Linked DNA regions of Arabidopsis thaliana. The protein of the gene in region 1 purifies or fractionates together with the protein of each later gene. This does not show direct contact. Each region holds a gene or a part of one and is shown in the gene's direction. Other genes may lie near its edges.

Region 1 (8,418 bases):
AAGCTGACAGCGGCAGTCACGACGGCGATCCATGTCCAGACGTTGTTGACGACGGCGAAAACACCTAAGCTAGCGTATTCAAACGCCAACGCCTCTAATGGAGATTCCAAAGTCGACATCGATCTCTTTATTGAAGTGTGTATAATTTTGCAAAGAGGTGAACGATTCAGTCGGTTATATAAAGGAGAGAGAGAAGGGATATATAGATGAAATCTGGACCGTCGGATGAAGAGCAAGTTGAGTGAGGAAAGGTAAGCCGTTGGATGAAGAGCAAGTGGAAGTATGAATATTTGGTAGATGCTGAGAATCGAGAGCGAAAGATGCTTCTGTCTTGAAGAAAGATGCGCATATAGCCCAAAGAGTTATTCTCCTTATGGATTTTAATAATAGAAAACATATAACAAACTTAATAGACTTTCAATACGACTCTTTGTTCGTGTGCTTACGTTACGGTTGTGTGCATGACCGATACAACATTTACTAGGTGGAGGATGTTCCGTGTTCGTACATCACTAAATTTAGATAACTTTATTATCGATTTAAATTTTGAATATTAATTTTTTAGAAGTTGAGTTATATAAGTGGTGGAAAATCGCTTATTAGTAGTGTAAACGTCGGTTAGACAAAAATATTTTCTTTTATTAGAGATAGATTATAAACTAGAATTAATGGTTGGTCGGCCAAATTTTTATTAAAGGATGGGAAAGAAGTGATGATTAAATCGGTAGCTTCAGCATTACTAACTTATGTTATGTCTTGTTTCAGACTACCAAAAACCATTACTTCTAAGCTTACAAGTGCGGTCGCTAAATTTTGGTGGAGTTCAAATGTCGATTCTAAAAGCATGCATTGGATGACTTGGAATAAATTATGTGATAGTAAGGTAGATAGTGGATTAGGTTTTTGAAATGTAGATGATTTAATTCTGCGCTTCTAGCAAAACAATTATGGCGGTTGATTACGGTTCCAGATTCACTATTTGCAAAGGTTTTCAAAGGAAGGTATTTTCGGAAATCTAATCCTATAGAAAATATTAAATCGTACTCTCCATCTTATGGATGGAAAAGTATTTGCTCAGCTAGATCTCTGGTTAAAAAAGGATTAATTAAAAGAGTCGGATCTGGGGCATCCATCTCCGTTTGGGAGGATCCTTGGATTTCAGCTCAATTCCCGAGACCAGCAAAAAGTAATGGGTCTGTTATTGATCCATCTTTAAAAGTAAGTAACCTTATTGACAGAAGGTCAAACTTTTGGAAAATGGATATTTTACATGAGATTTTTGATCCAAATGATATCCCGTTGATAAGTGCCCTGCATGTGGGTGCGCCCAACAAAGAGGATACTCTAGGTTGGCATTTTACAAAATCCGGAAAATATACTTTCAAATCTGGATATCATACTTCTCGGATAGAATATATAGATACAAATTTGTCTTTTATTGGTCCGGAGATCACATTGCTTAAAGCATATTCTTGGAAAGTGCAATGTCCGCCAAAGCTACGCCACTTTTTGTGGCAAATTTTAGCGAGTTGCGTGCCGGTCAGAGAAAATTTACGGAAAAGAGGCATAAATTGTGATATAGGTTGCGCAAGATGCGGTGCCACGGAGAAAACAATTAATCATACACTTTTTCAATGTCATCCAGCTCGACAGATTTGGGCGCTTTCACAGATTCCCACGGTTATAGGAATTTTTCCCTCGGATTCTATTTATGAGAATTTAGATCACTTATTTTGGAGAGTACAATCAGCAGTTGATTCATTTTCATATCCATGGATTATCTGGTATATTTGGAAAGCACGGAATGCAAAGCTTTTTGATAATGTGGATAAAGATCCACTTGATATTTTAAGTTTAGCGGAAAAAGAAGCACAATCGTGGAAATCAGCTCAAGTTGAGCTACATTCTGAAAATCCGGTTTCTTTTTTGGAATCACGAACTCGTGTGAGAAATATCTCAGAGGATAATGTTTATGCAGGACTTCGTTGTTTTGTAGACGGATCTTGGAAAGAGAGTGATCAGTTTTCAGGATTAGGATGGTTTTGTACATCATCAAATGAAGAAACCTCAAGCATGGGCACTACTAATCTCCGTAGAAGTCTCTCCCCATTACATACAGAAGTTGAAGCTCTTCTTTGGGGGATGAAGTGTATGATCGGTGCAGATAACTAAGATGTAGCGTTCTTTACAGACTGTTCAGACCTGGGAAGATGGTGTCTTCCCCAACCGAATGGCCAGCATTTTCAGGATATTTCTAGGAATTTCAGAGCGACAAGGATGAGTTTTCAAACTTCTCTTTATCTTTAATCTCACGACGCGCAAATGTAAAAGCGGATAATTTGGCACGGAATGTCCGTTCTGAATCGCATCACATCACTTATGTAAACAACATTCCACAGGAATGACTCTTTTGAGTTATAATTAAAAGCAGATGACAAAAAAAAAAAGTGTAAACGTCGTTTTTTTTTTGTTTTGTATTTAAGTTAGTATACAATGACCAAATTACACTCTCTTCACTTAAATAGTTAACACATTTACGAAGAACCATTCCGTATTTCCTTGTCTTGTTTTTTTTAATAAATAAAAACTTCTAAAATAGAAATAAAAAGTTTTAATAAATAAAAACTCCTATAAATAGAAATAAAAAGAAGAAAGATATGTTTTATTACTAAATTAAAAGAGTCATATTTTTATTAAAAAATATATATAAGACTCTTAGAAAAACAAAAAAATCATAAATAACTTATAGACCAACCATTTAAGCCCATCAGACTACTCCTTATAGAAAAGGTTATACTACGGCCCATTTAGACAGATAGAACTGTCTAATTCAAGAATTTAATTATGAGAAGAAACTTTATCAAAAACAATGCACATGAGAGAAGATTTTGTAAAATCCATCCATGATCCTCAGCAAAAAGAACACTATCCACAATTATATAATCTTTTCTTTAGAATAAGCCCACATCTTATAATAAGCTTCTGACATAAATTATCTTATTACTAAATTGATATATCATAAATTAACAGGATCAACTAAGTTAAGTAAATTATTATAAAATAATAATAATAAGTTAAAGTACATAATACATTATAGATCACATAATTAAAAACTTTAACAAGGAAGGCACGGATGAGGTGTTAAATGAATAATAAAGTAGTAAAGGGGTAAAATTGTAAAATAAAGTAAATATCGGAGTAAAGGGGTCAAATTGAAAATAAAGTAACCATCGGTATCGAGAAGAACGTGAGAAAATAAAACGGAAGAACCTGAAAAGGCGAAAGTGACGGGAAAGCCATCAAAACAAATCTGTGCGAGAGAGAATCAAAAACGAAGAAAACTCAAAAACTATAAAATCCAAATAAAGCCTAATCCCTAATTTCTCTCATCTCCCAAAATTCGCTTCTCTATTCGTTTTTTTTTCACCCCCACCAAATATTTAGATTCTATCGATTTTTTTTTCTTAATTTTTTTTTTGTAGTTTCAGTACTTAGAAATTGCTTCTTCCTCTCATATCATCATCATCGTTGAGCTCTGCCAGTCTCCGAGAACAGAATTATCCTTAAAAAAAAGATCGAAGCGAATCATAACAAACAAATTTTCGGGGGCTATTTTTTTTTGCATGGTGTTATTCATCGTGTCCATAGCTAAAGCAAGCTTCAATTCGTTTTCCTCTTCAGGTAATTTATACTCTTTGATAATGTAATTTACACGATTGCGTATTAGTCTGTTTCAGCTACGTGTTTTGGTTTCATCTGAACTATTTACAGTTTTTGAGAAGAACTTTGATTTAGCGGATTGGGATCAAATCTGGATTCATTTTCGCTGATTTTGCTAAATAAAGTTAGCGAAATTATATTTTAAAAAAAACTTAGGGTTTGATGTTCTTTAGATTGATTTGGTTTACCATAGATAAGAATTGGACCCTAATAATATTTAGGAATCTGAGAAAACATTCCCTTGATAAAGACGTCTTTGGGATCTGCTTCTCTGTGTATTTGGGTGGGTCCTCTGTTTTTTTTGATGATATTCTTTTCTTTATTTGGGACCTAACCTATTTATATAGTAATGCTTCAAATTGATTTAGAGGTCAATAAACTTGGTTAATTGATTTTTAATTCTTTCTCGTTACACAGATTTATAGTAATGTGTATTTTCATTTATTTTGATGCAACTGAGTCAGAAAGAAACTAATCAAACAGTTTTGTGACATTGTAAATGCAGCTACAAAGGGAAGAAGAAGATCATATGTGACATTTGATCTTTCGTTATACTAGCCAGATGGATGAAAACAACGCGGCCAAGTTAACCGGTATCAGGCAGATTGTCAGGCTTAAGGAGATTTTGCAGAAATGGCAAACCGTCACCATAGGCCCCAAGTCAGAAGTTCCTCCATTGGCAGCTGGAAAGCAAGCAGTGGCGATGATTTCGCCCGCCATCAACAAGAGGCTATTAGATGTCAAGAACGGTGACTCGGATGAGGAAACCTGTCAAAGTCCTGAGCCGCCTCATGATGTTCCTAAAGGGAATCTTGCTGTTTATGTTGGACCGGAGCTAAGGAGGTTTATCATACCGACAAGCTATCTTAGCCACTCTCTGTTCAAGGTTTTGCTCGAGAAAGCAGAGGAAGAGTTTGGGTTTGATCAGAGCGGTGCGCTCACCATCCCTTGCGAGGTCGAGACTTTCAAGTACTTGCTTAAGTGCATGGAGAACAATCTTAAAGATCTTCATCCTGATGACAACTCTGGTAAGCCCCCCAAAGACCAACTCTTACCTAGAGATCATACCATGAACTCAAATCCTGGTGGCCAGCCAAGGCTTAATCCAGGGACTGGGTTAAAGTCTAAACCCTGAAGAATCAGGTCTAAAAACATGCTGCGTTTAAAATGGGCCGGGCCAAGCCCGTTAACATTCACAAGTTTGTTTGATGAGAGAACAAGCAAGACGATTAGTTATTAGACACTGTTATGCTGATTCTTGAGAAACACTAATGGCTTTGTCTTGTCTTTTGCAGATGGGGAGGCAGTAGCAGCAAAGGAAGAGTAAATACAAGTCAAGTGATAAAAAATCTTAAAACATTTATTTTGTTTTGATTCTCTTGTTATCCTTTAATCATATACTGATGGAAATTGTTAATTAGGGATGATTACTTTGGGGTGTAATTGTAAAATCAGATTATCTTTGTGTTTTCCTGGTTTCTTTATTGATTCTCCATTCTTTTTTCAAGGGGGATTTAAGTTTTAGGACATGTATGTTAGATGTGAAAAAATTTGGTGGTCAAAGTGTGATACGAAACAAAAATATAACTTCTTGTACGAAAACATGTTCACATTTCTTGTCTTCTTCTTCGATGTTGTTATCGAAAATTGTTATGTGTGACAATCAAGTAGACTAATGAATAATATGCAACAATGTGGGGAAGATGGATTGTGGTCGAATTGTCAAGAACTGGTCGGATTTGGTATATAATTCGTATACACTACTTACGATTGTTTGGGCCGGAGCTAACAGTTAAAGAATTCTCCCAAACAGCATGCACTCGAATTCAGGAAAGACACAACTTCACCCTTTGCTATGGGACCAAAGTCACCAAGCACTACTTATTTGGTTTTCCATGTGTTTCCAATCTCCAAAAAGCGGTGTACCCCATTCCAAGTCTTGCATTCGTCTGTTAGCGATCCAGTCAGAAAAAAATTTCGTTTCTAATTTTTCACATAAAGCCTAAATATGTTTAATCGTTTTTTTTTTCATTCTGCATTTTACCAAATAAAATCAGTTTCTTACATGACTTTTGCCAAAACAAAAATTAAAAAACATCACATGTAGATTTAATTTATTATATTTTTTTTTCTCAGTCATCATATTTCTTTTGCGACTTTAAAAGATGCAAATCCGTCTAGACTTTATCAAAATTATTTATCTATATAATACGTTCATTGTTTAATTGTTTAGTTTGTATGTTTATGTGCAATTGTGCATGACATGCGTGTATACGTATGTTTTTATGGAAAAAAAAAGATACACGGATAAATTTTATAAATATATTTAAATACGTAGGGGCCAATCAATCTAAAGTAGATAAGATGAATTGATTAGGGTTTGAAATTTTGTAGCCCGTGATTGATCTAGTTCACGAAGTCAGTCAAATACAACATTGACATTGCAATTAGTTTTAGCTCTTTGTATAACCATTAAAAAATCATCATTTTTAAACTACATTGCAACTTGCAAGACAATATTTACACATTTAAACATTTATTTTATCGTTGTTGTATCATTTAACAGAAAATAGATTATTTCACGAAATACTATGTAAAGTGTAAAGTATACAAAGTGTAGAATATACAAACATGTAACATTTAATCATAAATATATTTTGAACCTAAATTAATCATAAAGAGTTAACAAGCGTAGAACTCGACAAGTTCGTAGACCGACTCGGGGCGTGACTCATCGGCGTCGGCGTTCTCCAACATCCAAAGCAAATGCTCAAACAAGACAACTTCGCACGACACAGAGATGGAACCGTCCTCGCTGCCGCATCCACCATCCACCGCCGCTAGCTGCTGGAAGAGCGGGTGGCTCACGACATCGGAGCTCACGTGGTATGTCCTCCGTGTTCGGCCTACGTAGACAGTTTGAAGGTCTTCAGAGGGGAACGCACTCACGGCGGAGGATCGGCTGTGATTGGTTTGAGCTGGTGGCTGGTTAGGCTTGGTGTTGAATGAATTGAGTTTCTTCAAAACTGATTTCAGCTTCATCAGTTTGTTTCCTCCTTTCGCCATTACCGATTCGGTTTGGAGAAGTTTGACGTCGGAAATGTAAGTCCGAGTGAGTTTTCCGGTGAGAGAGAGAGAGAGAGAGAAGCGAGGAAGAGGAATGTCGATGTCGAAGAGAGAAAGGAGAATGATGTTCTTATATAACTTGCTAAGGGTAGATTCGTAATTATAGTATTATTATTTTCAGTATAATTTCATGGTTTTAATAAGTTTGAGAACGTTTAGGTTATCAACCGATTTTTGAATAGCCATTATCCAATGATCTAAAAGTTTCCAAGAGCCGGAAGCAATTATTCGAAAAGATTATGATTATGAATTGGAAAGATAAAGCTAAAAGTATATATTAAAACATGCAAACCCACATCACTCCAAAAGTTTTTGTTATCCCAGTCAACCATATACATCATCATTTCCCCATAACCATTTTCTTAAAACTAAATTTGGCTAACGTTTTAACTACGTTGTGGTAAGAACCTTCGAGACTTCGAGTGTGTAAAGTGTAAACTTATATTTTGGATGAATTTTTGTTAAGTTTGGATCTTCATCACATTTGTTTTTGTGTCATTTCAATCCAAATGATGAAGTAACGAGTACCACAAACTTACTAGATTATATGTTCTATTCAATATGTACTTTTCTTCAAAGGATTTTCATAGTATTTATTAGAAACTTTAAATATATTCTCTTTTCTTTCAACGAATTTCAGTTAGATATTTAACTACGACAATTTTTCTTCTAAAAATTTATGGAGTTCCCATTTTTCTCGTTTATATAAAATATAAATTTCTTTGAATGAAGATCATAACAATATAAATGAAGCTGTGAACTTTATGTAATCACTTGATTATAATAAACTAATCCAACAACTAAAGGAGGTTCATGAACTTCTAAAGCGGCTTATTAGTTCTAATTAGTTAGGTAAGTAATTGGCTATCTCTGCTTTTGATTAAAAAAATTATCTTCTCTTTTTTTACACATAACATGTTACAATAACAAATACTATAAAATTGCAAAATTTTGTCATTTTGTTGTGGTTAGATTAGACTCCGACATTATTCATTTGTGAAGTTTATTTATTATTTACGTAGTATTGGCTTCTACTGTTACAGCATGTGAGTTCCGGAAGATTTGTCTTCTTCTTTTTTTACGTAAAATTGTTTATATCATAATCAGCCGACACAAGGGCATCAAATGTCTTTCTAATCATGTAACCAAAATATTAATATGAAATTGGACCTCCTCCTAGTTTGTCTACTTATAATTAATTGAAAAGTTTATCAATCTTCGTAATAAACTAGACATCATATTAATTAAAAGTGTGAGATTTATAAAAGATTGGCGGAAGAGTCCAAGTAAAGATAATATAGAAGAAATTAAGATGAGAGCAACGACCAATCACAGATTTATAGTATCAAATAAATTTGTTAGTGAAAATGTCAAGTTCTCTATTTTTGGGCGGACTCGATCACCTGCCAAAGCGTCAAGCTGTACTAGAGGAACCGTTTAGACGACTGAAGTTTCTTTCCCAAAAGGCCAAAAAACGTTGAAAAACTATCTTATAATGCATATGCATTCATAGTTTACGTTCACCATTGCAGACATATAATCTAAACCTTTGAAAAACCTAAAGCTAGCATG
Region 2 (8,252 bases), on another chromosome or scaffold:
TTCTCAACTAAGTAAACCAAATGATCCATTGTTTTTTGTTATGTTTTTTTTTTTTTTGTGTTTGAAGTCTTAGCTTGTTATGGTCTGTGCAGGCAGTGTAGTTTTAGCTTAGCCATTGACTTCCATGTTAACTCAAAAGGCATGGTTTTGTGTTTCCACTTCAGAATTAGCATATGTAGAGTATATAGGAGTACCCTTTTTGATGATAATGTCTCATACATACTAAAGTATTCAAGGTTTTTGCCTTTTGAGGCTGGATTGATAATGATTGTGTTCTTTGTGAAGATGTTTTATTCACACTTTTCTTAATTGATTCCAACTTCGAAAAGAAAGGCATCTACACACATGAATACACTTATGTTTTGGCTCAATGCATTCCTTAAAAGCTTCCTCATCTCATTTTTATATTCAAAACTGAGTTATTCTGCTTTAAAGAGTGTGATTTGGAATCAACAAAGTTGGGTATATGCTTCACTTTCAAAGCAATGGGTGCGTCTGCTTTGCATGATGGTGATGGAGAAAGTTGCAAACTCTGCTTTACTATTTGGACGGTGAGCATTCCATTGCTACAGTTTCAATACAAAGCAAAGGTAACCCAAAAGCATCAGACTTTACTCTGTTCTATATCATTAGGACCAAAACAGTTGGTAGACACAAATGTTAACAAAATAAGAATTCAATTCATATAATTTCTTGAAAAAATCCCTCATGACTTTACAAAATGAATAACAAATTACAAATATAAACCAAAACGTATATGAAAACCAATCCAAAAAAAAAAAAAAAAGTACTATATCTTTCACTCATTCCTTTTGCGTCAACAATGTCTTAAAGCTTGATTTCTTCTCTTCTAAGTTGTCTTGTTTTGGTACCCACCAAACCCTGAGACTCTTGTCAAGGCCTCCACTGTAAAGCATGAAGCCAGCACCGACATTGTTTGGCGACGCTTGTAAGCATTTGACCGGACCTTCATGGCCATGTATGACTCCGAATTTACAGAGCATGCCAGTCACTTCTCTCCTCCACAACCCAATGCTCTTATCAGCCGATCCACTGCATACCATTTCCCCAACTACACACATACACAGAACTGCCATGTTATGTCCTCTTGTCTCAAACCCTAATCTCCATTCCTCAAAGTCTCCTTCTTTCTCTTTCTTCTCCCATCCGATCACAAACCCGTCTGATCCTCCTCCGTATACCCAATTACCGTCACCGGAAACCACCACCGAGTTCACTGACACCTCTGCACGACCCTCCAACGTAGCCTTCAAAACATGTAAAGAAGAGGAAGAGGAAGAAGTAGACTCAATCTGCTTTCTCTTCTCTTTCCCCCATATCTTGACCTTCCCATCTGCGGAAGCAGAGTATACCCTGCCATCTCCGGCGACAAGACCATTGATTGCGTCATCATGAGCCTTGATCGATTCAAGACACTTGAGATCCGACAGTCTCCAGACTTTGAGAGTCTTATCCCACGATCCAGAGTAGATTATCCCAGCGTGTACCGCAAGGCACGAAATGCTATCGGCGTGTTCAATCCAGAGACGCTTATGGTTCCTCCTCGTCTGAACGTAATTGCTCTGTTTCATAAACTTCCCCAGATAGTCTTTAGTCGTGGGAAGTGTATCAACAAGCCTGAAAGCATTCTCAGAGTTTCTCCGAGAAACTTTCCAAACTCTGATTCTACTATCTTGATGCGCCGTGAACACTTTGCTTCCCACGCTGACCAAAGCCTTCACAGACCCATCACCTTGTCCGAATTTCGCAAAGATCTTGAGATCAGGCTGTTGCCAAACGATGATATCTTTTCCCTGAGACGCACTCAGCAAGAACTCACCACAGAGCGCTAAGGAAGAAACAGAGCCGACATGAGCAGAGAGAACAGCGAGTGGCTTGTACGCGCCGGTGATAGGCGGACGGAGAGTGTTGAGGACGAAGCTTTTGGTGGACGCAGATGGGCTGAGAGAACCGTCGGAGTCGTTGCTGTTGCTTGTGGTTGAGGAAGAAGATGAAGACATCAAGACTCCTTCTTGGATTGATCTCACCATCGTATCAAGAGATTCAAGATTTCGTTTCTATTTTGGAACAGAGAAACCAACAAAATTGGAGCGTTTGAGGAAATGTTAAAAAGAGTATTTATTTTTAAAAAGGAGGAGAAGGTGCAACGGCTACATTGACAGGTGGCGTAGCCTCCTTTTTTTGCCTTTTGCTTATCATTTGCGCATTTTCATTAATTCGTGATATATGGCTCATGGAATCTTATAATATATGAAACCACTTCAGGAGCCTTAAATTTAATGTGTGCATATCATAGTAACGGATTGATCATTGTTCTCTTGTTTGACCAGTGATGTTAATTGGACCATATGTGGATACTGTAACGTTAAGGATTATGAAAATCAAGATATAGATATATGTATTTTTCAAGTATACGATATACCAAATTAGTTACGACAAAATGCGAATGAGTTGGTAGTAATGAGTAAACCTCAAAATACTGTTTTTTTTTTGTCAACAAACTTATGTTATTATACTTGGATGACTTAAATAAGCTAAACCGAAAAACATTGTTTAACCTCAAAATACTTATTTAATTAGTTGGTAGCATCGTTACATATTATAATTACGACTACGAGTTAGATTCTCAAATAATATTCCCAAATGGATATATTTACATCGATTGATGCATGCTTATTTGTAGTGATCGTCCCTTATGTATATTATGTTTTTATTTTATTTTTTGAACATAGTATAATATTGGTGGGAGAAGACAAAAATAAGGGAGCTCTGCCATCTAATACGGGAATCAAGATATCTGTTTTACATCAAACAAAGACTAGTGTGATGAAATGAAAGTTAAGTTAACAACAATAAAAAACAAAATTAGCTGAAAATGTAATCAAATGAGAGATCCGAATCCGATCTCCGCTAAGTAAAGCGTAGTGGGAGCGTAAATTCGCGTGAGTCTGATTCTGAATCGTATCATACATACCAAATCAAACATTAACGTTTATGATCTTACTTACCCATATCTTATTTCTTAATTTGTTTGGTTGTTTGTAAATGAGAAATACACTATGATAAGAGAAGAAGATCTAAATGAGGCATAGATCTCTAGATACCAAAACAGATAACGCCACCAACTAACATCCAATTAAGGATATATAACACGGCATCTCCCTCTTTAGTAAGCTTACGACCAAAGTAGTGTGACTAGTGCGGAACATTTTTGCAGTTAATACTACTTAGCCTCAATTCTTAATTATGACCGTATGGGACAGGGTAGGTAGGCACAAAGCGGATATTGTTTTTAATATATTTGCATCGAATTTGGTTTGTTGGATCGATAATCTTTTAATATGTATCCGCTTTTGAACTAGTCTATTCTCCGATTGTAGAATGAAACATCTATCCGAAATTCTAATTTGTAGTATTAGTGATTTGTTTTGTTTTTAACAGTATTTTAATATTTGTTTAAATTTGTAAACTTATGGTTATCCAGACTTTTTGAATCATTCAAAAGTGGAAAACAGATCGAATGGAAGTATAGAACACTACAATATATTTTCATATTTTTCTTAGCCGTAAGCCACTAATATTGGATGGACATAAACATAAGAGACCCCACAATATTTATCAGATTAAGCCTTTATTCACATTACAATGTTTCGTTCTCAACTTCTCATCATAACGTGAATAAAAGTAGGAGTTAGAATTAGAACACAACATCTCTAACAAATCTCTTATCTGCATTGCTTTGGAGAGACATGTTTGTACAAGAAGAAAAATGTTTATGGTCAGTCCGTTTTTTTCATATTGATTACCTTTTAAATCCCATTTGGTATTAAAAAAAACCCACTTCTAAGATATGTTTCGCTTTTTATGGTAACAAGACATATAACTTTTCAAAGTTACTGAATGGAATTCTTGACAGAAGTTGTTAGGACACTAAATAATGGAAAATCAAAATCAAGGGTTACATTAGAGACACGCGTACATCAATTATTTCTTAAAATGCAACTTGGTGTACGACTTTTAATTCTTGAGTCCTCAAACCCGAGCATTACTCCACCCTTTCTTTTCGCAATAATCAAGATCCTAATTTAATTCCCTATAAGTATTTTTTCTAATAACTATGAAAATAAAGAAAAATAAGCGTTGAAGTCATAAGTTTGAACAAAGACGCGTGACCTGGAATCGTGCTCAAGAAAAAATATCACAACTAATGAAAACGCAAGGTCATGAGTATTGACCTTGACCGGGCAAGAGCCTAGAGCCAAGAGGTGATGTGTACTTAAATGTGATAGATGCTCCCTTCTTCTTCTCTCATCACTAACAAATTAAGAGAAGCTGATCATCAGATTGAATCAAAGACAGACTTTGACTTTTCTTTGTGATCGAAGATATGGCGGATGCTTTCACAGATGAACAGATCCAAGAGTTTTACGAAGCCTTCTGTCTCATAGACAAAGATTCCGATGGTCTGCTTTGTTCTCTCTCTTTCTTGTTCGATTTGATACACAAATTTATTCAGAATCGATCGGTTTGATGATGTTATGATGCATGTGAAACAGGGTTCATCACGAAGGAGAAGCTAACGAAAGTGATGAAGTCGATGGGGAAGAATCCAAAGGCGGAACAACTGCAACAGATGATGAGCGATGTTGACATCTTTGGCAACGGTGGCATCACTTTTGATGATTTCTTGTATATTATGGCTCAAAACACTTCTCAGGTAAAATATATATACACACTTAAAACCGTTTAGTTATAGTAAAGATTGATAATTGTAGAGAAAAGTTAATAATGAAAAAATTGGTTGTAGGAATCAGCATCGGATGAGTTAATTGAGGTATTCAGAGTGTTCGACAGAGACGGAGATGGTCTCATATCTCAACTTGAGGTAAATAAATTGTCTAACTATTTACCAAATAGTACATTGTCCTGACATGGAAACAATAAAAAACGAGTTACATACATATATAATAAGATTAAGTGATCATGTAGATGGATATAACGAAAGAAGAGAAATTACTAAATGTTACTTTTTTGAAGACCTTGTTATTATTATCTTTATAATCTACTATCATTCACTCATTACAACACAAATTTTTGTCGCCATAAGAAACTCCATTGCTCATATGGTCTTGTTTTTTTTTTCTCAAACCGACACGGCGACAACACAACAATCGAGAGACACATAGTCACATACTACTTGAAAAATACTTCGTTATCTGAATTAAAAAGATTTATATTCAAAAATAATGCAAAAAAGATTGGTCATTTAACTTGGTCAAATGGTTATTAGCTTACTTTTATAATATAAGCCATTCTCTTAACTCTTAAGTCTTAACTATAGTTTATTTAGCCATTTCTCCTAATTTCTATAAACGAAATGCAGTTGGGAGAAGGAATGAAGGACATGGGGATGAAGATAACAGCAGAAGAAGCGGAGCATATGGTCCGAGAAGCCGACCTTGATGGCGATGGTTTTCTTTCTTTCCACGAATTCTCTAAAATGATGATTGCTGCCTCTTATTAGCATTTTGTGAAATGCCATGATTTAAGAGTTTGTTTTTGCACAATTACAACTATATTTCAATATGTTACTATATTTTCCCAACATATAATTAAAGTGTGTGTTACTGAATCAATGATTTTTTTCGGTCGATAAAAAACTATAATATTTTTCCTATCCAAAATTCGAACCAAACCAAACCAAACCAAAAGTATTGTTCTGTTTTAAACATATGTTTTTTAAACCGGAAAATCCAAACCGAACTAAACCGAGAGTAATTATCTGACTCGGTCACTCGACGGTAGCGTGCCACAATTGAACTGGTGGTCGATCCTTAACTTCCATCTTCAATCCTTGCAAAACCCTAATGAAGAAGCAGTCTGAAGAACCAAAAATCAGTGGTTTTTTAATAAGTAAATGGTGAGAAAATCTGTTGAACTGTCGAATTTGTTTATAACCTATCAGCTTTGCTATAAATTGTTTGTTCCAAATTCCAATTCAAGTCCCCATCATTGAAGGTTAAGTAGCTTTGCTTTTTTGTCTGCCGACGGTTGTTGTAGAAATTTATGATGTTCTTGATGCTTGTCACTTTCACTCATATTGAGATCTGTCTCTCGATTCATGTTTCTTCATCACAGTGGACACAAAATGACCTAGAAGCTGAGATAGTATATTTACATTGAGTAGAGCAATTTAGTACTTGCAATATTCGTTTTAGTAGTGTCTAAAAAAGATAAGGCTTTGGTTGAACTCCATTCTAAAACCCTTACGACTGATTGAGCAAGAATCTTTACATTGATTATAGCTTTGTTTCCGTGGAAAAGTTTCTACAGTCCAGCCATGCAAACAAGGCGATGGCAACATAGGAAGGAGATAGGAGATTGATTAGATTTTTTTTTTGTCAATCAACAACTAGCTGCTGTAGAAGAAACTTTAGATCAGAAAACAGAACAGCTAATCACTGCTAAAGAGTTTTCCTCTTCTTTGTCATGAGACATTCCACCATCTTGTGGATTCTTGATCTTTGTAGCAATCTTCTTGCTCATAGTTGTCTTTGCTCTCATTTTAAAGTTATTTTCTTGAAGACTAGAGATCAGAATTTTGACCGGAGAGAGTAAACCATATTACATGATTCCACTAAATTAACACTGTTACAGGTTAGAATCACGGACATGGATGATTGCTCACTCATGTGGACTTGTCTTAACACTGACCCAAATAAGCCAAAACTCCTTAATAGCATTAAATGATGTGAAAAAGAGAGATCACATTTGGAAAAAGGGTTTAGGGCAAAAAAGAGTGAAGCAGACAAAGACATCATTCAACGTCATCAATAGGTCTTTGTAAGAAGAGATCAGAGAAGAGTTTAGATGGAGTTAATAACAATCATATTTATCACATACATATACACATATATGAAAGAATTAACCATTTTTTTGTTTACACTACTACTACTACTACTTGATAACAAAATTACTGCAAATTAATTAAACAAACAGAAAAAGTTTTTTTTTTGTGACAGAAGAAAATGAGCTTGAAAGTAGAAGAAACTAAAAACAAAACCAAAAAGAAATCCATCTAGTTAGGAGGTGGAAGCCAAACTCTCATCACTAAGCAACTCTTCCCAGAAACCATCATCCAACTCTCTCTCTACCACCAGTTGATGATCCTCTTCTTCCAACATATTCCTCTGTTTTCCATGCCCTTGCATCTCCAAAGCCAAAACTTCCAATTCCGACATCGAAGAAGAACCTCTTTTCCTCTTTGCTGACTCATTATCCTCAAGCTCCTTAATTTTTTTATCTCTTTGTTTCAACAACTGATGCAAAAACGAAGGACTCTGCATTGCTCTAGCCAGAAACGACATCATTTGTCTCTGTTTCCTCTCTGTTCCTTCTATCCTCTGTTCCATAGCTTTGATGTAGCTTTTCGTTGTTTGTTGCTGCTGTCTTAGACTCACTATCTCCATCATTAGCACTTGCTTCTCTCTGCGAAGCTCGTTGCAAGCGTCATGGCTTGGTGAAGATGATGGAGTAAAAGGGTTTCTCCTCTTGATGTTCTTCAACAACTGTCTTTGTCCTAACAAAAACTCTTCGTTTGCAAATTCCCATCTCTCTGCTTCTATCTTTCTGAAACCCTGTAATTTTTTTAACATAAGTATTCAAAAACTAATCTTTTGAAAGTCTACATATTCTCACAAACATCAATAATTGGAGTGAGAACTCTTTCTATGTTTTTATATGTTAAAGAATGGAACAAGTGGGCAACGTTAAAGCTGATTAGTGAATAAACAATGGAAATTGGGATAAGATCGCTGACTGTTTCTTTTGATTATTTTAGTAAGCAAGTTGACACGAAACTTGCTTCTGGAACTTACTAAACCTTCTTCTACTCCACTAGCCATTACGGAATCTACATTTTCGATGTTTCTAGAATGCTAAATTAACAACAGATTCTGCTGTAAAAAATGACTTTTTTCCATTACCAAGTTAATTATATAGTAACATTCAGAATACTTCGCGGTAATTTTCCAGCAACAAGGGAAATGAAAGTTAAAAAAATAAAAGAAAAAAACAGAGCATTCCTCTGCTTTGAATGCTCTGTTTTGTGTTTGGTCAGAGAATACAGAGCAGAGAAGACTCACATAAGTATTGAGTTGTCTGATGAAACTTGAGAAATTGCTGTGTTTGAAATGACGAGGAAGGAGAATCGTGGAGAAAGAATGCAAATC

Evidence for each region. Proteins that work in one complex are often made in the same cells at the same time.
Region 2: the proteins of AT5G20810 (region 1) and CAM9 purify together in Arabidopsis thaliana (affinity purification with western blotting, with the first as the bait; one study listed by BioGRID). This does not show direct contact.

What each region holds. Positions count from the first base shown.
Region 1 is NC_003076.8:7,040,509-7,048,926, forward strand, and holds AT5G20810 (SAUR-like auxin-responsive protein family), read left to right. Parts: upstream 1-3,292; 5' UTR 3,293-3,681; intron 3,682-4,225; 5' UTR 4,226-4,282; coding exon 4,283-4,855; 3' UTR 4,856-5,015; coding exon of another isoform or gene 5,016-5,047; 3' UTR 5,048-5,204; downstream 5,205-8,418. Other genes in the region: AT5G20790 (uncharacterized protein), read right to left, coding at 1-119; AT5G20820 (SAUR-like auxin-responsive protein family), read right to left, coding at 6,403-6,786.
Region 2 is NC_003074.8:19,265,471-19,273,722, reverse strand, and holds CAM9 (calmodulin 9), read left to right. Parts: upstream 1-4,064; 5' UTR 4,065-4,408; coding exon 4,409-4,484; intron 4,485-4,577; coding exon 4,578-4,738; intron 4,739-4,828; coding exon 4,829-4,906; intron 4,907-5,404; coding exon 5,405-5,545; 3' UTR 5,546-5,772; downstream 5,773-8,252. Other genes in the region: AT3G51940 (oxidoreductase/transition metal ion-binding protein), read left to right, coding at 1-15; AT3G51930 (Transducin/WD40 repeat-like superfamily protein), read right to left, coding at 804-2,051; HSFA7A (heat shock transcription factor A7A), read right to left, coding at 7,104-7,658, 8,166-8,252. UniProt on the Arabidopsis thaliana protein: Potential calcium sensor.